Linked DNA regions of Anolis sagrei. The protein of the gene in region 1 interacts with the protein of each later gene in a pairwise test. Links are inferred from orthologs where the notes say so. Each region holds a gene or a part of one and is shown on either strand. Other genes may lie near its edges.

Region 1 (10,269 bases):
TCCTGAAGGAAAGGAGGGATGCAGTTGACCTGATTTCGCTGGAGAGCGAGTTCCACAGGAGGGGGGCTACTGCCGAGAAGGCCCGATATCTCATCCCCGCCAAACGCGTTTGCGACCAAAGCGGGATCGAGAACAGGGCATCCCCGGAAGATCTTAAGTTCTGAGGCAGGACATAGAGGGAGATATATTTGGACAAGTAAGCTGGGCCGGAACCGTATAGGACTTTCTAGGTCAAGACCAGGACTTCGAATTGTGCTTGGAACTGGACTGGCAGCCTGTGGAGCTGACACAATGGAGTAATCCAGTGACGTTCCAGTGAGTAATCTATCTGCCACCCATTGGACTATTGAAGTTTCCGAACAGTCTTCGTAGAGTGCGTTGCAGTAATCTATTCGGTATGTAACAAAAGCGTGGACCACTGTGGCCAGATCAGAGTTCCCAAGGTACGGGCACAGCTGGCACACAAGTTTTAATTGTGCAAAAGCTCTCCCGGCCATTGCCAAGACCAGGCTCAGCGATGAATCCAGGATCACTCCCAAGCTGCAAACCTGTGTCTTCAGGAGGAGTATAACCCCACCCAACACAAGCTGTAACCTTATGCCCTGTTAGGCATTTTGACTGACCAGTAGGACCTCTGTCTTGTCTGGATTCAGTTTCAATTTGTTCGCTCTCATTCAGTCTGACACAGCTGCCAAGCACAGCCTCAGAGATCCTGCTACAGCCCTTTCCCTGCTCCCATTCTTGGAGTCTGGAACATGGCACAGGGCAGCCAAATTTGCCCATCTGCTGGCCACAGAAGAAAGAGCTGCAGAAAGTTAACTTCTCCTTCCCTGTAAGAAAATAACAGCTCTGCACTGCCGTCGTGCATCTGGAAAAGTGATGGGAAACAATACAGGCATACTTCAGTTAAGAAAGGCTTTCACAATGAAGTTTTGTTTTGGTTTTAGGTTTTTTTAAGGCATCTTAGGCCAGCAATTTTCAACATGCCAGGCACTTGTAGCTTATTTGTGTCCATTGACTACCACTCTGTCTGTCTGTCTTTCTTTCTTGGAAAACTCTTCAAACTAGTGAATTGTGAAGTAGTCGCACTTCTCAATGTGGTCTTGAGGCTGATATGAAAATACAGAACCATAAAGAGGTAGATTGGGGAGCTTGAAGTTTACTGTCTGTAGCCCCGATAGCTGAATTAGCAGACAGGTCTTGCCCTGGCACATTAGCGGCAATATGATTCTGTTCGTATTATTTTGGAATAATTTATAATTTTGCATCTGTACAAATTGTCACACACAGTTTTATAGAAATTTGTGTCATTTTTTTGATGAGGAATGTTCTGGAGTGGAGGCAGAGGCTGATGTTTAGGTGGGAACCTTGTGTGTATCTGTCCCTTTAATTCACCTGAAAACATGGCAACCCTATGAATTACATGTAGTTTTTTAAGGCGAGAGATATTTGGAGATGGTTCCTTTCTACTCTAAATACATCATAAGGTGACCACCATAAGTTGGAAACAATTTGAAGCCAAGTAGCAACAAAATTTACGAAAATAAGAGATGGGAAAAGTTGGGAGAAAGCAACGGATTGTCACCGAGGTCAATCTCTGACTCATACATAACTTTTCTAAAGAGTTTCTCATCTCTACTGATAGATGGATATAGATAGATATCTCAAACCCAAATGGTTCACCAAATAGTTGTTCACCAAATGGTTCTTCATCCTGGAAAAAAGTGACTAGTGGGGGCCACAGGGTTCTGTTCAAGGCCTGGTGCTGTTTGACATCTTTATTAATGACTTGGATGAAGATTTAGAGAGTGTGCTTATCACGTTTGCAGATGACATTAAATTGGGAGGAATCAGAGGACAGGATCAGAATCCAGAATGATATTAACAGATTAAAGAGCTGGGCCAAAACTAACAAAAGGAGTTTCAACAAGGAGAAGAGTAGAATACTTCACTTAGACAGAAAAAAATGAAATGCAAACAGCATGGATGATGCCTTGCTTAGCTTGACAATAGTACATCTGAAAAAGAACTTGAAGCCTTAGTAAACAACAAGTTGAACATGAGCCAACTGTGATGCAGCAGCTTAAAAAGCCAATGGAATTTTGGTTTGCATCAAAAGGAGTCTAGTGTCTAGATCGAGGGAAGTCATGCTGCCTCTTTATTCTGCTTTGGTCAGGCCTCACCTGAAATACTGTGTCCAATTTTGGGCACCACGATTCAAGAGAGATATTGACAAGCTGGAAGGTGTCCAGAGGAGGACAATAAAATGATCAAAGGTCTGGAGACCATGCCCTATGAGGAACGTCGTAATGAGCTGGGTATGTTTAGCCTACAGAAGAGAAGGTTGAGGGGATGCCATAAGGGAGAGGCATATACATATATACATATACATATATATATATATAAGGGCTGTCCAAACACGCAAAAATTTGTTTCTGAACTCGATTCGTTTTTAGGGGTTTTTTCCAAAATTTTCCTTAAAAAAAAGTTCGATATTTACGAAATTTCGGAAATCATAAAACAATTACGAATCGATTACGAATCGATTCGTTAATGGCGGCCACGATCGCGCAATACGCTAAAAAAACTTCAGAAGCTTCCCTCTCCCTCTGTTGTTGACTGTTGGTGTGATAATTATATATTTTTCACTGAGAAAACAAACAGCAACCCTAAAACTTGCACCAGACATGCGGAAATAATAACGAATCAATAACGAATCAATTACGAAACGAATTGGAAAAATTCGTTTCGTTTTTTAGTTGCTCCTGAATGATTCAATATCGCTTCGTTATAAAAAAAAATAACGAATTTTTAACGAATTACGAAATTACGAAACGAAACCGCCCAGCCCTAATATATATATATATATAATATATCAATGTATGCATGTATGTATCACAAAGGCTGTTGCTAGGTGAAGTGGCCCTTTGTGATATTACTGAATTGCTGTTGCTAGGTGAAGTGACACCCTGTGATGTCACTGGGAAATAAAGATGACATGTATAAGGGATGAAAGAGCGACAAAGAGCATTCCCACTGTTGCTATAGCATGGCGATATTGTGAGGTAAGCCTTCTCAGAGATGGAGAAAAGAAAAATTAAGTGGGCAGCGGCCCCAACAACAGTGGAGCAACAGCAGGTACATACACTAGTTTATAATAAATAATGTAAGAAAATGGAAATCCAGGCAATGCTGGAGATATACTCTTTTCCAGGCACAAATGTGATAAATTCTATGAAACATTCCTACAAATGATTATTGCATGGAAGACCATTCAAACAGCACAACAGAGAAGACTGAAATAAGTTGAGGTTTCATCCTGTGCCGTAGGGTTGCCAGGTGTTACTTATGATGCAGATGTCCCTTTTAGGGCTAGTCCCTTACTATGAGGGATGTCCTCTATCTGATGGGTGGAAAACTTTTTGTTTTATGAGTTGAACATAAACTCACACCTACTCAAAATTCATACTTTGCAATGTGGGCTCTTCATAAAGACAGAAATAATAATTATTATAATGTGAGTCACCTAAGGGCTGAGAAAAGCAGTATAGAAATAAAGTAAATAAATCTTCAGGAAATTTACAAATTAGTTTCACACTGTTGTGCCTCAATGATATGGAATCACAGGCGTTCGTGCCAAATTTTCCATGGTCCCATAGCTCTGAGCCATGGCAGTTCAAGTGATGTCAAACCGCATTGATTCTATGGTGTGGATGCAGCAGTAGACCAGTATTGAGTCCACTACACCACACTAGCAGCATCATCATCATAATCCTCCTCTTCCTCCTAAGAATATTCCACACACACACAACGTACCATTGCAACTCAAAGCATCTGTATATCATTTATTTATTTACTTATATCCTTTATTTATTTACTGCTTCTTGGCAGGGGGTTGGACTGGATTGCCCATGAGGTCTCTTCCAGCTCTATGATTGTATGATTCTATTTTAATCGCAACTTTCTCCTAACTAAGGTGGCTAATTATATGTTTGACCAACTCTGTTGATGGTGCAGTCAAACACTGGTTAGATCAGATAAGGGCAAACCTGCAGGTGTTTTGGACTTCAACTCCCACTCCTAACAGTTGATAAAGTCCAAAACACCTGGAAGATCGAAGTTTGCCCATGCCTGGGTTAGATCAAACTAAATTAAGTGGAACCAGGCTCGTAGCCAGGATTTTGATTCGGGGAGGGGGGGGGGGGCTGAGTCTGAGTGAAAGAGGGTCTAGCCTAGCAAACCTTTTGTATCGTTACTCCAATACCCCCATGCATATGGGATATATTGAGTATGGTGATCAGATCATGATATGAATAAACATAACAGTTTAAATAATGCACCACTAAGGCCTTCACCATGAGAATTTCGGGGGGGGGGGGGCTCAAGCCCCTCAAGCCCCCCCCCCCCCCGGCTACATGCCTGAGTGGAACCATTGCCTGCTTGTCATGAAGAACGTTGGTAGCCCTTTATTGCCATTCTGGCAGTGCAGGGTGCGTCTACACCACTGGTTCCCAATCTGCGGTCCGTGGACCACCAGTAGTCCACAAGAACTAAAATATGATCCACGGCCTCGCCATTACTACACTGTTTCAACTAGGGTGACTGGCCTCGCAAAACACTCTTGTAGTGCCAAGACTTATTAAATATGGTTTTCTGTGGGTAAGCACTCACCAGGCTAAAACAGTGGCTCTTAATGAGGCATGCCACATTGGTATGAATCAATGGCTGATACCAATTGAGAGACTCCCTCCTGGGCACACAGAAAACTGGATGACTTGGAAGGCGCTGAACAGACTGCGCTCTGGCACCACGAGATGCAGAGCCAACCTTAAGAAATGGGGCAACAAAGTGGATTCCACAACATGCGAGTGTGGAGAAGAGCAAACCACAGACCATCTACTGCAATGCAGCCTGAACCCTGCCACATGCACAATGGAGGACCTTCTTGCAGCAACACCAGAGGCACTCCCAAGTGGCCAGATACTGGTCAAAGGACATTTAATAGAATGCCAAGTTTGCAAACTTTGTGTGTTTTTTTAATGCAATACAACTGTTCGGTCCACTCCTGACACGATAAATAAATGTGGGCGAGCAGATGGTGACTACTGGATGGCATATGTTCTGTATCAGAAACTAGAGCTGATGTGGTTTATCTAATGCAGTTTTCTGAATCAGCACCCCAAGTAACCAAACTAAATCTAAAGTTGACCAAAAACAGATTCGTAACCCTTTTGGTATTAACGTAGGAGAGTGGTCCCTGGTCAAAAAAAGGTTGGGAACCACGGATCTACACAGTAGAATTAATACAGCATGACACCACTTTAATGGCCATGGGTCAGTCCTGTGGAATCGTGGGAATTGTTGTGATTTATAAGGCATTTCACAATCTCTGCAAACGACTGCTAGTGCCCACCAATATTCAATAGCATTGAGCCATGGCAGCTCAAGAGGTGTCAAACTGTATTAATTTTAAGAGTGTAGACCAGGCATGGGCCAACTTCGGACCTCCCTCCAGGTGTTTTTGGACTTCAACTCCCACAATTCCTAACCGTTTGCCCATGCCTATCTTAGATGCACCCGAGGCCATTTTTTTTGTCGTGTCTGGAACAACTTGAGAAACTGCAAGTCGCTTCTGGTGTGAGAGAATTGGCCATCTGCAAGGACGTTGCCCAGGGGACTCCCGGATATTTTTTGATGTTTTACCATCCTTTTGGGAGGCTACTCTCATGTCCCCGCATGAGGAACGTTCAGCAGTGGAACTCTCTGCCCCGCAGTGTGGTGGAGGCTCCTTCTTTGGAAGCTTTTAAGCAGAGGCTGGATGGCCATCTGTCAGGGGTGTTTTGAATGCAACATTCCTGCTTCTTGGCAGGGGGGTTGGACCGGATGGCCCATGAGGTCTCTTCCAACTCTTTGATTCTATGATTCTCTATGATTCTAGGGAGCTCCCTGGATTCGAACCTGCGACCTGTCGGTCTTCAGTCCTGCCGGCACAGGAGTTTAACCCTCTGCGCCACCGGGGCCAATGGGAAGGAAGCGCCGCCTGTCACTGTCAGAGAAGGGCATAAGCCCCGCCTCAGCAATCGGGAAAAGGGGGCGGGGCTTATATTCTCTGACAGTGACAGCTAGGAGTGCGCGCTCCCGATGGCTGAGGCGGAGCCTGTGCGTGCGTACGCACGTACGTAAGCGCGTAGCCGGGCCGCCTCACTCCCCCTCGGCGATGGCGGCCGCAATGGCGGCCTCGCAACGGGATCCTGCAGGCGACTGGCAGGACTTTTCGGGCTTCCAGCCCGCCGGGGAGGGAAGCGGGGCCCCGGAACCCTCGCCGGCTCGGGAAGAGGGCTCCTGGGGCGACGGAGGCAAGGGCTTGGCGGCGAAGCTGCCGCTCTGCTTCCAGCCGCCTCAGCCGACCGCGCCGACGCCTCCAGGGAGCGGAGAAGGAGAAGCCCGGCTCCCGCCGCCGCCCCTCAGCGAGCAGAGCGCCCTGCAGGAAGACGAGTGAGTGGCTCTTTCCCTCCGGCGTTCCGTGGTCGCTTCTCCCATTCCTTCCCTGCCATCCCTCCCCGCCCAAAGAGCCCTTGCCGACCTTTCCCGTTCTCCAGGCGTCGTGGACTTCAGCTCCCAGAATTCCTGCTGGTCGGTCAAGCTGGCTGAGGCTTCTGGGAGTTGAAGTCTCTTAGCCTCTGTCCATCAGGCCCGCGCAACCTGTGGCCCGCCAGGTGTTTTGGACTTCGGACAAGTGGCTAGGGTTTATGGGAGTTGGAGGGCCACAGGCCTGCTCTTCACTATAGAATGAATATAATAATAATAATAATAATAATAATAATATATTATTATTTGTCCCACCCTGGTCATACCACAGATATATCAACCCATTTTCCTAGTTCCAACAGACCTGACTACCTCTGAGGATGCTTGCAATAAATGCAGGCAAAACGTCAGGAGAGAATGCCTCTAGAACAGGGGTCCACAAACTTTTTAAACAGAGGGCCAGGTCACAGTCCCTCAAACTGTTGGAGGGCCGGATTATGATTTGAAAAACACATGAATGAATTCCTATGCACACTGCACGTATCTTATTTGTAGTGTAAAAATAACTTTAAAACAATACAATAATTAAAATGAAGAACAATTTTAACAAATATAAACTTATTAGTATTTCAATGGGAAGTGTGGACCTGCTTTTGGCTGATGAGATAGGATTGTTGTTGTTGTTGTTGTTGTTGTTGTGTGCTTTCAGGCTTAGGTTGACCCTGAGCGAGGGCCAGGTAAATGACCTTGGAGGGCCGCATCCGGTCCCCAGGCCTTAGTTTGAGGACCCCTGCTCTAGAACATGGCCATATAGCCCAAAAAAACCTACAAAAACCTATAATAATAATAATAATAATAGTTTTATTTCTTATCCTCTGCTCCTCATGGCTCGAGACTGGTTACAAAACAATTAGAATACGTAAACACAGCAAAAACACTACAAATACACACACTAAAACGTATTAAGACTTCAACACCTTAATATACAATCTCATGTTGGATACTAGAAACCCACCCTGGGTCTGTTGGCTGCTATAAACCATTTTATACTTTTAATTGAGATTTTATTACCATGTAAGTGCATTTGTTGAGATTTATTATGTTTATTTAATTGCTTATTTTTTGTTAGTTATTATAAGTTTATATTGATGCTGTTTCGATTTGGTTTGTTGGTTTTTTATTATGGCATTGAATGTTTGCCACTTTTTGCATGGACACTGCCCTGAGTCCCCTTGGGGAGATACAGCGGGTTATAATTAAAGTATATTATTATTACCTCCATAAAAGTTACGTACCAGAATGTATCTCTATGAAATACATATTAAAACAGAGATTAAACAAAGGGCATGCCTTAAAATTCATGTTTATGTTTAAAGGCTGTCAGTGTAGGTCTACCAAAGAGACAGGTCTTCACTTCTTCACTTCTGTCTTAAATTAAAGGACTGTGTTGGAATTTAGTCTCCTGTGGAGTTATGGACATTTTCAATCAGAAACAAATTTCAGCGTATTTGGCTTCCAAGTTAAGTGTGTAGGAGTCTGCAAGCTAATGATGTGAAGTTTCCATAGAAACATGGTCCTGGAACTTTAATCTGTAACAATTTAATATGCATGTTTGTCACAATATTTTAAACTGTCTTGCTTACTAGGCATATCTGTCATTCAGTTATTTCTTCACAAGCACTGGAATGATGAGAGATCTATGAGTTGTGCTCTAATATACAACTTATTTCCTGTTTTGTTAAATAGAGTACAAATAAACCCCTGATAAATAATAAATGAAATATCCCCTTCTAGACAGAATACTGAACTAGACACATTCACAATGTAATCCAGCAAAATAATTCTTAATGTTCTAGTTAAGGAAAGAAACTTAGAAGTGAATTTTGACTGATTCCTCCATTCCACACATTATTTTCTTTGGCTAACAGTAGATGCAAAATTAATTGTTTCTGGTAACAATTAATTTGCACATGAAATAGCAAATATTGATGGATATGCAGCTAATACAGGTGCTCCTGTATCGCAGACAATTCTTCTTTGAAGTTTATTTAGCAGTGCATTGTACATAATTTGGTTGGACATAATTGGTGTAGGTCAGTGATCCTCAACCTGTGGACCCCCAGGTATTTTGACCTATGACTTCCAGAAATCTCAGCCAGTTTACCGGCTGTTAGAAATTCTGGGAGTGCAAGGCCAAAACATCTGGGGACCCACAGGTTGAGAACCACTGGTGTAGATAGACCAACAATGTGTACTGTAGGGACAGCTTTGGGGTGCCTCTAACCAAAGTATTTAAATGTATACTGTTGATAGTATTTTTTATGACATTTAGAATAGTGATTGCTGTATACTTTGAAAGCTGGATGTTTATTACTTAAATTTTGTCTTCAGGATTTGGAACGCTCTGACTGACAATTATGGCAATGTCTTGCCAGTTGACTGGAAATCTTCCCATACCAGAACACTCCACTTGCCAACACTGAATCTTTCTGAAAAGGGGGTTAGTATTGTCTTTTCTGCTTGGAATTGTGGCTTAGAAAAAGATTGCCTCACCTTCTAGTGAAGTTTATTGCCATAAATTTCTTCATATTCTGATTGCACCATATCTTTCCTCTTTAAAATATATGTGACAGATACCCCAATACCCAGTTAAGGGATACAAATGTGATAAAAGTATGTGTGCCTTTTTTGCTTCACTGCTTTCTTACAGTTGCTGTTCTGTATATGGTTGAACATGTGCTCATTTTCTAGAAAATACCAGGATTATCTCTGGTCTTTGTCAGGGTCTCTGACATGAGAATCAGAACATCTCATTCTATAAAAGCTGAGGTAGTTAGTGAGAAGGCTAAAGACATTGAGAAACTACAACTCCCATGATTTGATAGCATTGAACCATGACAGCTAAAGGAATACCAAATGGCATTTATCCTACCATTTGGGTGCACCCCTAGTTTGCTAAAACAGATTTAGCAAGAAGTATATTTACTAATCCCTGGTAGACCTTATGATTTCTGAATTTATTTTTGACTAATGTATGTTTGTTTGATTGATTGTAATTCTCCATCTGCATCCTCCGTCTTAACACATTCACTGGGTATCAGGTATGCACATTCCATTTAGTTGAGGGTGAGGGCACCTAATTCTTAAAAGTTAAAAGACTTCCTTTAGAATGTTTAGAAAGCACCTCCTCCACAATGTATGTGTAGAGAAAATAAAAATATTTTACTTTAGTGATAATCAAACAATATTTTATTATTATGCCTGAACATCAACAAACAGATATTAACTCTGATTATACTTAATGAAAATAAGTTAGCTTCAAACTATAGATTGAATCTCTAAATCATAATTAAACTTAAACTACACTTTCTCTAGACTTGAACATGTTATAACTGACCTGAAATTAAGCAATAGCATTTTCAGCTGAGAGGAACTGTCACTAGATCTAAGCTGTTGGAACCAGGGGACAATTTTGGATCTACCAAGCTTTGAACTGTGTGAACTTACCCCTCCAGCAGCGCAAATATTTCTCCTTTCTGTACCTGTCTGATTGTGAGAGCTATTCAGGAAGCAGCTATTCATTAACCATTTAATATCAGCTAAATAACTGAGCAATCATTAAAGTTGTGGAAACATGATAAATCCATAGTTATGTACATTTCATTGATTTGTTGAGTCAACTCTCATTAGAACTTACCAATTGTTAATCAAAGCCTTTTGTTATTCCTGGTTAAATATTGG
Region 2 (10,849 bases), on another chromosome or scaffold:
AGTCCTATAACCATACCAAAATAAAATAAAATAAGCCAACCCCAGCAAAATTGCTAAAGGAATGTGGTGGTTTAATCAGAAGCCTTTCTTACTAGGTCCCAAAACAGATTTAAAGATGTTTTGAACCTTGAGAAACATCCTTGCAGCCTGGCAGGAGAAAAGAGTTTTTAAAAATGGGCCTATCATAATGGTACGTTAGATAGCTGCTCTATACACATTAGACTGACCAACAATATTTCAACAGGGCTAGAAAATGGGTTGAAATAGATCTTAAAAAATCACTGTCATCTAAAAGCTGCTGAAGTTGCACAATAATCCCGCACCTCAGTTATTTTCACAGTAAGTAAAGAAAATGTAATCTAGATTTTCTTGGGAATCTGTTGTGGAGAATGGGCACTTGTTTCCCTAATGTGCAAGGGACTACCCATCAGTCACAACTCACTACAGAACAGTAACAAATGGATCACATACATAAGGACCACCGTGCAGGCTCTGAGATCTGCCAGGGAAGCCCTTCTCTCGGTCCCACCACCGTTCCAAGTATGGTTGGTGGGGATGAGGGAGAGCGCCTTCTCTGTGGTGGCTCCCCAGCTCTGGAATACCCTCCCAAAAGAGATTAGGTTAGCCCTCACCCTTGAATCCTTCCGATCCAGCCTAAAAATATGGATTTTTTAACAGGCCTTTCACCTTGAATAGACTGAAATGGGTGTATGTGATGATTGCTTACACAGTCTGGCATTTTAGTTCATTAACTGATGACAACCAGTTTTATCCACAGATAATACTGTATTTTATAATTTTAACAATTTTATTATTATGTGATGTTATGTGTGCTTGTTGTGGTTGCTGCAATAGTTTTATGTGTTACTGTTTTCATACTTAGGTGGTTGTTTATTTTATATGCAGGACTCTGGGGGGCTTTTGTGAGCCGCCCCGAGTGCCTTTCAGGAGATGGTGGCAGGGTATAAATAAAGTTTGTTTATTTATTTATGGGTTACCATGGTCAATAGAAGGAAACAGCTACCTATTTTCAGGTTTGTATACTCATCTCTTTTAACTGGGGAATTTCTACCCCCTTGCTCAATGATAAGAAACAATGTGGTCGAAGAGCAAGCAGACAAACAGAAGGATGTAACCCTACAATTATTTTATCCATGTCCTATAGACTCTAGAATTAAAAGTCATCATCTGACACCAGATCTTCCTTTTAGACATTTCTTTAATGCTGTGCAACTCATACAATGATGGACAATCCACAGCTAGATTTCTGAGATCTCTTGCCTATTTATCCCATCAAAAGTTATTTGCAACTGCATCTACCCAGACAATACTAATTCATTTTGCATATAGATAAACTTACCCTTCTGAGCTAGAACACTAACCTTCAAGTGTATGCTGCAGTTCTAATACTTGATTAATAAGACGTGTTTTTTCTTCCAATTCCACTTGATTTTCAGCCTCAATAGCTAGAATAAAAGAGATAATCTTTAGAAGAGCTAAATTTTATAATACATAAGACTGAAAACACAAAGAAAGTAAAAATGCTATCTACCATCCATATCTGAATTCATCATTGTTGAAAAGATCTTATCTGTTCTTGAACACCGTATGTCAGTGATGTGTCCTGTTTAAAAAGAAGAAAATAGGATCAGTGGTATGCACACAGAGTCTGGTTTTTATTCCATGATTTCAATGGGTAGCATCTGCATTAACATTTTGACTGTGAAAAAAGCAGTCATTTTTTTCTGTGCAGGTTCAGTGACTTTTTCAAAAGACAGTGAATGTTGAGGGCTGACTATACGTACATATACACATCACCTATCAAGAGAATTATAGAACATTTCACTTTCCCACCACACACATCTTCAGTACAGTTCCCCCCCCCCCCCTATTTCTCAAAGGACAATGCTTTCCTGACATTAGAATAACAGAATAATAAAGTTGAAAAGGACCTTGTGGGCCAGCCAGTCAAACTTCTGCTAAGAAGCAGGAAAATCGCATTCAAAGCACCCCAAACAGATGGTCATCCATCCTCTGTTTAAAAGCCTCCAAAAAAGCCTTCACCACATTCCGGGGCAGAGAGTTCTACTGCTGAACAGCTCTCACAGTTAGGAAGTTTTTTCTAATGTTCAGGTGGAATCTCGTTTCCTGTAGTTTGAAGCCATTGTCCTGCATCCTAGTCTTCAGGGCAGCAAAAAAACAAACTTGCTCCCTCCTCCCTATTACTTCCCCTCACTTATTTATACATGGCTATCACGTCTCCTCTCAGCCTTCTCTTCTGCAGGCTAAACATGTCCAGCTCTTTAAGCCGCTCCTCATAGGGCTTGTTCTCCAGACCCTTCATCATTTTAGTCTCCCTCCTCTGGACACATTCCAGCTTGTCAACATTTCCCTTCAATTGTGGTACCCAGAATTGGACACAGTATTTCAGGTGTTGTCTGACCAAGGCAGAATAGAGGAGTAGCATGACTTCCCTGGATCTAGACACTAGATTCGTATTTATGCAGCCCAAAATCCCATTGGCTTTTTAAGCTGCCAAATGACATTGTTGGATCATGTTTAACTTGTTGTCCATGAAGATTCCATGATCTTTTTCACATGTACTGCTGTCGAGCCAGGTGTCCCACATTATGTATTTTTGCATTTCATTTTTTCTGCCCATCATTTCATCACACTAGAGAAAAAATCCACTTAAAATCTGGTTCTGCCTCCTGCAAGAATTTGGAGGTTTGTAGTTTAGTGAGGCTGTTAAAGGCTCCTCCCTAAACTACAAACCCCTCATCTAGTGTGATGAGGGCTATTGTGGAGTATTTTGCATTTGTCCCTGATGAAACTTCATTTTGTTAGTTTTGGACAATCGTCTCTCTAATCTGTGAAGATCAGTTACCACCCATGAGGATTGCTAGATGCCAGATAAATCTAGTTTCTGGTTATTAAGAGTTACTATCCAAAATAGCCCTAGCCTAGCCTATGCCACACCATAAACTTTGTACTGACTTGATATTAATATTGAAATACAATAATTAATAGCAAATCGATAAAGAAAAACTGAACTTAATGTATCAGTTGGCCCATGCCTGGTCTACTGTATGTACTGTACTGAACGTATCTCTTCTTATGAACCATCTAGGAATCTAAGATCTTCTGGGGAGACCCTGCTCTCGATCCTGTCTTCTTCACAGGTTTGGTTGGTGGGGACGAGAGACAGGGCCTTCTCAGCAGTGGCCCCTCGGCTGTGGAACGCCCTCCCTAGGGACATTAGATCGGCCCCCACCCTCTTAACATTTCGTAAAAAAGTCAAAACCTGGCTTTTTGAGCAGGCTTTCTCAAATGCAGTGTAGCAGACAAACCCTGATTTTGGAACGACTGGACAATGCAATTAGATAGTGCAAATGGATAACGATTTTGGTAAGCAGACATGGAGGATCTATGTTTTTATCAGTTTTATTACTTACTGAATTTTATTTATTCTAAATGTTTTAACTGTTTTTATGTTATTGTGGGCATCGAATTGTGCCGTTTTGTAAACCGCCTTGAATTGCCCTCGGGCTGAGAATTTACTATATAAATATAGTAAATAAATAAAATAAATACTGTATTTGTGTTGGTCCCTTTTTTCCCTTTTAGCTGCTTCCCTCCATTGAGACGTAGGCTGACCATAATATCAATGCATTTAATCAAACCTCATCCTGAATGAGATCTAATTTCTAGATGAAACAAATGTGAGTCAAAAAGATGGATGAAGAGAAAGTGGGGAGGAAGACACTTCCTTGAAGGTGTGAAGGGCCTGAAAGATGCCACAAATGAATGCAAGGCTTTACACACAAGACAGGCTGACTCCTCTTCATCCTAGTCTAAAGCCTTATGCAATCAGGGAAGAAGAAGAAACAACCTTCTCCCTTCCAGGGCCTTCCTTGAGCATCCCAAGAAGGAAGCCTCCCTGACAGTATGTGTCCCCACCACACTGGAGGGTGGGGGATCCTGTTTTTTAATTATTGCTTTTGTTAATCTACCTATCTATTTATTTATAGGCTTCTAAATGACATCTAGAAGTCGACCCCCCTCCCCCCACAAAGCATTCCCACCCAAACAGCCCCAAATCATTCGATTCCTTCTGTTGTCATAAGCAGCTTCCTCCATCCCTCAGGGAGCCAAAGCCCTCGCCCTTTTGCGCACGCGCACTCACCTCTCTCTCTCTCTGTCTCGAGGCCTTTGAGCGCGCGCGCCCGTCACCTGCCCAAGTGACCCTCGGACCCCGTCCAGCAGCGCCTTTCCCACCAGTTCAAAAGCGGTCACTGCGCCTGCGCGGCTATCCTCTTTTGGCCCAGGACCAAACTGCGCACGCGCCATGCGTCGATGAAAACAACCACCGAAAAGGGTTGAGGATGGGCCCACCAATCACAGCGAAGGAATGACCGACGGCTTTTCGCAGAGTAGCCAATGAAAAGAGGGGACTCATCGGCCGACTCGCTTCCAAAGGCATCCCGCCGGCTGTGGGCGTGGCCTGTCTTTGCCGGTTTGCCTGGCGCTGCTGGAAGCGGAGGAAGGAAAACAGAGGGGGCGGGGCTTCTGTTACCGCCCTTGTCTCTTTTCCCTTATGAGAGTGTCAACTCTCGCGAGAGTTGTAAGGTCTTTTTAGATATTGTTTTCCCATGCATTTTAGAAAGGGACAGGCTTTTTATTTAGATAGGCTTGTAAAGATTATTGTTTACTGCATTTCTATACCGCTTTTCAAGGTTTTAAGACCAATTCAGGGGGTGCTGTGGTGTTTTAATGGTTTTTAACTAGGAAGAAAACAGGGTATTAATAATAATAATAATAATAATAATAATACACAATATGAGGATTTAAAGATAGAACTGCAAAGACTCTGGCACAAGCCAGTCAAGGTGGTCCCAGTGGTGATCGGTATACTGGGTGCAGTCCTAAAGACCTTGGCCTGCACTTAAAAACAATCGGCACTGACAAAATTACCATCTGTCACATGCAAAGGGTCACCCTACTCGGATCTCCACACATTATTCGCTGATACATCACACAGTCCTAGACACTAAGGAAGTGTCTGACGTGTGATTAAATATAAAAGCCAGCGTTTTTCAATGCACAAGCGATCCTCTGGCCCTAACTCCAACAAAAGTGGGGTCTACTGTGCTTTATAAGTTGAATCCCCAGGGAAGGAATGGAGCCATTATAAAACAACACTTCCAGTCTCAGGAAAACATCCTAGAAGGCTACCATGGTCAATATTATCAAAATTATTGAGAGACCCCGCAGAATTTGTGGGGATTTGTAAAAAAGCACTATGATGCAATGGGTTGACTGGAAAGGCATGTGGATTGGCTGAGTATGCCAGGGGCCAGAATTCTGGTTGACTGCTGTCTCTGGCTTGCTGCTGAGACAAACTATTTGAACTGCCACTTTCACCTTGGAGAGTGAAGAGAGCGCTGCCAACTCTCTGAAGCCTGATCATTTCTAAGGCATGAAGCATATTTTAAAGACAGTTGAAAAGGACTGTTTATTCCCTCTGTTCTCTGTGTGAGAACAGAGGGAATAAACAGAATATATATATAGAGAGAGAGAGAGACAGACAGACAGACAGACTGCTCTATGTGTGTGTGTGTGTGTATTGTTGCTCTGTTTGATCTTTTGAACGGTAGTAAAGATATTGTTACTTGTTACACAAGCCTGAGTGACATTTTATTATACTGCAGGGTATATTTTGGTTCAGAAACAGTGGTAAAGCTTCTATTTATTTATATCTACAACTTCCAACAGAAACACACACTCTTGTCTGGTTTCTAATAAAGATAATCCACCAAGGGAATAAAATCTTTTCCTGTCCAACAGTCAGGCATGAAAACAGGTTGAAATGGATCAAGATAATCCATATCATCTAAGAGCCCCTGGATCTGGGAGGCTGGTGGTACTAATGCTTGCAGCTGAACAATATTTGGAGAGCTACATGATTTGCAGGATGTGTAGAGAGACTGTGTCACAAGCTTTGCCTCCAGTGACATCGGGATCTGCATTTCTTCTGTTTTAGAAAGGAAACACTGACACAAATATGTTGCCTCAGAAACAGTGGGTAGATCCTTAGGCACTTTAATAGGAATGTTCTATTCTAATAATAGAATATACTTAGAATTCACCCACTGGCATTTAATTCATGACTAAGTAGTCATATTAGAGTATTGCATCAAAATCCGAAAAACAAAGTCGCACAATACCTTACAGACTCACATATATTATTTTTTGCTAGCAGCTGCTGAATTTATCAGATGCATTAAATGAGCCCTTGTGCTTAAAAACATATTACAAATTAATGTTGCCCGTTTAGATCTAACCCAAAAGTTTACAAAATTACTTCATATTAATCATGAAAATATTGCTTTAAGATAGGTCAATCGGCAGTCTAAAATCCCAAATGGAGGGCAATAAGAACCACTGTTTCCATTCCACATCAATACAGTAATGCTCACTGAACATACAATAAGCTTGTGCATCACTGAACCTAGTGTAGTTTATTTGTGGGTAAAATGCATACTGTTGAACCACAGAAGATCTATGGTGCTAAGCACCAGCACTATTGGAACCTTTTGCATTGCAAGGCAGAAATAGACAACACAATATATGGGCAATCACTTATACAGAAAAAGCCAGCTGACAATAGTTGTCCATGCTCAGCTCTCAAAACCCACAATTTAGCAAATATTTCAATACAGATTCTAGAGCTAAATGCAAGATATTGTCAATGATTGAGTTAAAATTAATTAAAACCATGTTTTTGCTTTTAAAGGAGCATAACATAGCTTTGGCAGCCTTCATTAAAGTGGTAGTTGAGATGGAAAAAATATAAAAAATACACTAAAGAATTGTATACTCAAAGAAACTGCTTTGAGTCCCCCTAGGGGTGGGAAAAGCGGTATATAAATGCTGTAAATAAATAAATAGTGCAAAAAGTGCATATTAATCGGATCCCTGCTGTCAAGATATAGTAGGACATGGCATTTGCTGTTGTTCCCCCCAGTTGTGCCTATCTATTATACTGGAACTCACATGATCTATAGTACTGTGACACCTGCACCCCTCTTCTACATTAATTGGCCAGTATAAAAAAAAGTTATATTAAATCGATTCTTCGTTGATATTGAAGACTTCCACCACCACCCCATAAAAGAGATATATAGTTTGACCTGTGAGAATTATAGTTTTCCAAACAAATTGGAGATAGCCCCCCATCCCTACACCTCTCCTCGAGTCTCCCAAGGACCAGCTTAGCCCCCATTTTCTCACCCCCGAGCACCAACATGCAGACTCCCACCCCCATCTCAGCTGTTCAATCTGAGTTGGGCTGTGGAGTGGATCTCTGCATGGCTAGCTGAGACCGCCCAACTGGCTTCCCTTTCTCTAGCTAGCCACATGAAGACTTGTTTTATTGTTTTTATTGTCTCTATTGTTTTCATATGGTTTATATTTGGTGCATTAAAATAAAGTACACCTATGCATCTGAACTCAAGGAGAATTGGTATAAAGCATTTTATAGATGGTATTTTACTCCGGAAAAGATATCTAAGTTCAGTAAAGTTAAAATTAGTGATGTTTGCTGGAAATGCGAAAGACACAAAGGAAATTATTTTCACATGTGGTGGAATTGCAAAAAGATAAAGAGCTTCTGGCATTAAATTTATAAAATAATCGGAACGATATTAAAGGTAAAAATAGAGTTTAAGCCAGAGGCAATGTTATTAGGGATCATAGACTCCATCTGTTGGGGTTCAGCCTGATCTGTGTGAATCTGATCTGTGTGAACCTGATTCTCTGATAGTATTTCCAACTGAGCAAGCCACTGAACATGTAGTTTTCCCTGACAATGTGGAAACTGGTGTTGATGCTGAGTTCAGTGGCGGGGAAAACAAAACTGAACAGCCAGATGAAAATGTTTTGGAATCCAGCCATGATAGCTCTCCACCTGGGTTTTTTAATGAGGACCGACGGGAACAGATAATGAGAGACAGGAGTGATTCACAGTTCCTACGAAGGTCAAATAGATTACAGGAGAGACAGGCTCAGGCTTCAAAGTCAAGGGGCGTTTCAAGGAATAGTTTCTTTGGTATAAGGGGCCGCCTGCCGGGTGCCTCCTTAGATCAAGCAACGTTTGGGACTGTGGCTGTGCCTTGGCAGAATTCCTGTGTTCCATTCCCGGTAATCCCAGAGGCTTCTAGTTTTTCAAGTACATGGTTAGCGAGAGGCTAACAGGTTCCTGGTTCTTGTCTTGTGTGTTTTTGGACTTTTGCTCAAGTTCAGAGATTTTCCTGACTGCTGTGTTTCTATGGTGGCTTTTTGACTTTGCATTTAACTTTCTTTTGTAACCATTTTTTCAGCAATAAAAAAGGATTGTTTTTCCTACAGTCCAGTGTGGTGGATTTAATCTTATGGTCTCGTTTCTTGGTCTGGGATGCAACACCATCAAAGACAAAAATTCAAAAAAAATATTTTTTTATTTTACCACAGCGGCGAGAATAGTAATAGCCAGAATTTGGAGATCTAATAAAACCCCTACAGCAGAACAATAGCTGTTAAAAGTATGGGATATTATGAACATGGACATCTTAACTCAAAAAATATCACAGAATATAGCGAAACTACCCAAGACAGATTGGGGAAATTTTCTGGAGTATATTAAAAACTTAAATAAGGAAATTTGTATCAGTAATCTACAATGAAGAAACTCAATGGACCATCAATGGGAAGCCGACGACTTATTAATAAGAATAAAAGACAACAAAGGGACTATTTCAGACAACAAACTTCCCAATTACCTGCCCAGGGAACTCCTGGAAGTATCTTAACCGGCACCCCCCCCTCTTTTTTTTCCATTTTGTTTCCCCACCTTCCTTGTTCTTAATTCTCTCTTCCCACGTTTCCAATCTTTGCTGAAAATATTGTTCCCACTCTTTCCATGTAAATATTATTTTTTTCCAATTTCTTTCTTTCTTTCTATCTGCTCCATCTAAGGAGCAACATATTCCAAATAATTTTAAAAAAAGCCAAAGAAGCCAAAAGATGGTATAGCGCATGTGCAAAAACGTCTCCCCCTGGCAAACAACACATACAATAGTATATCCACACTGTCTTCTGGACTACAGCTCCCAGCATCCCCTAGACCTGGCCCTTTAGGAGAGGAGGATGATCCAAATGCACTGCTTCCAAACTGCAAGCTTTCTTCTTGGATTTCTTTGAGAGCATTCCAGTCCCTGCATATTTCCAATTTTCTATTCCTGGACTGCAATTCCCAGCAATCCTCCAGATAGATAAGGTAAATAGACTAGATAGAGATAGGACTGCAATTCCCAGCAATCCTCCAGATAGATAAGGTAAATAGACTAGATAGAGATAGGTAGGTAGGTAGGTAGGTAGGTAGGTAGATCAATGAGGAGGACTGCTGGCAGTTGCAGGCCAAGAATAGGTAGAGAAGGAAGAAAGGGGAGAAAGAAGAAGGGAAAAAAAGAGGGGAGGAGGAAAGGAAGAGGAAGAGAAGAAAGGCAGGAGAGAAGAAAAAAGGGAAGGAAGGAGAGAAAGAAAGTAGAAGAGAAAGAAGGAGGGCAGGTTGGCCACAGCAATGTGTGGTGGGTACAGCTAGTGTTTATATAAAAATATCAAGTAACCCAGAATATGAGGGGATTTACGCATGATCCTGAAACTTTCTGTCGCACAGATAATATAATTAGAGTTGCTACAAGCTGTTTGCCTTCAGAAAAGGCCTTTTTAAACCCATATAATCCTTTTTAATCCCTGAAAACATGCATCCAGTACTGGGGTTGTGACTTTGGAATTTGCCAGTGACACTCTCCTATTGGTTGCAAATTGTTGCTAGAATGAAGAAAATCTTTGTCTCCGCACCAAGACACGGTCTGCTGTCTTGATTGCAAAACCAACCTAGCAACTAAGAGGTCATTTCAGGCCCCTGGCATGGCATGGTTTCTATGATGCTGTCAGAATGCACCACTTCACCTAATTTCAGTTGATTTAATTTAGGGCTCAAGGAAAACAACCAGCACGCTGCAGTTTGTGATAGTAAGAAAGAAACAATGTCTAGGCTGTTTCTTTCTTTCTTTTTTCTCTCCACTATCCTCTTTTTTAAATAAGAAAGAAAGAAATTTAAATCTCTTTGAAGTTCATAAGCAGAATCTAATAAATTGGCTCAATGCCTTCATTTGAATGAACAAGATGTAATATCCTTTGACCCTCTTGGGAATTATCATGCAAAGCCTAGTGAAAGACAGTGGTTTTAAAACCACAAGTAGGGAAATGTAGTGTCAGGAATCAAGATACAGATAGAGCTGTCTTCTTCTGCTAATTCCTTTCCCAGCCACACAATTTAGCTCCAGACATACACGACATTGTTTCTACATCTTTCATGGGAAATACATAAATTAGAGTGACACTGACTCATGGAACTCTCCGTTTTTAGTTTCTGTTTTCTTTTTTTGGTGAAACAATATTTGTTGGAATTATGTGTAGATCTCTGTGGATACATGATAATAATATTGATAACTTTAATGTTTATATTTCCCAGTTTTCATAGCAATGCTGCCTAATGAGACATGCCACATTATCACAGGATGTTCTATGCCCAACACTACCGGAGAAATTGTACTGTATAGCCAGTGTTGCACCACCTGACATCCACCGGGAAGTAGCAGACAGCAATGGATGGACCAAGGCATTGATATCTCCAGCTCATCCTCTGTTCAGATATCAGACAGCAAGCCAATGCCTTAAATGAAAAAACAGCTTCCAAAGATCTACAGAGATATTCGCAGGAACACCTCAGCAATCGAGAGCCCAA

Evidence for each region.
Region 2: the proteins of FEZ2 (region 1) and SCOC interact in binary tests that used the Homo sapiens proteins (3 or more experiments, as listed by UniProt). The link is inferred for Anolis sagrei from reciprocal best matches to the Homo sapiens genes FEZ2 and SCOC.

What each region holds. Positions count from the first base shown.
Region 1 is NC_090021.1:51,568,769-51,579,037, reverse strand, and holds the start of FEZ2 (fasciculation and elongation protein zeta-2), read left to right. Parts: upstream 1-6,178; 5' UTR 6,179-6,217; coding exon 6,218-6,495; intron 6,496-8,919; coding exon 8,920-9,028; intron 9,029-10,269. UniProt on the Homo sapiens protein: Involved in axonal outgrowth and fasciculation.
Region 2 is NC_090025.1:45,272,280-45,283,128, reverse strand, and holds the start of SCOC (short coiled-coil protein), read right to left. Parts: upstream 4,369-10,849; 5' UTR 4,351-4,368; coding exon 4,187-4,350; intron 1,627-4,186; coding exon 1,553-1,626; intron 1,467-1,552; coding exon 1,383-1,466; intron 1-1,382. UniProt on the Homo sapiens protein: Positive regulator of amino acid starvation-induced autophagy.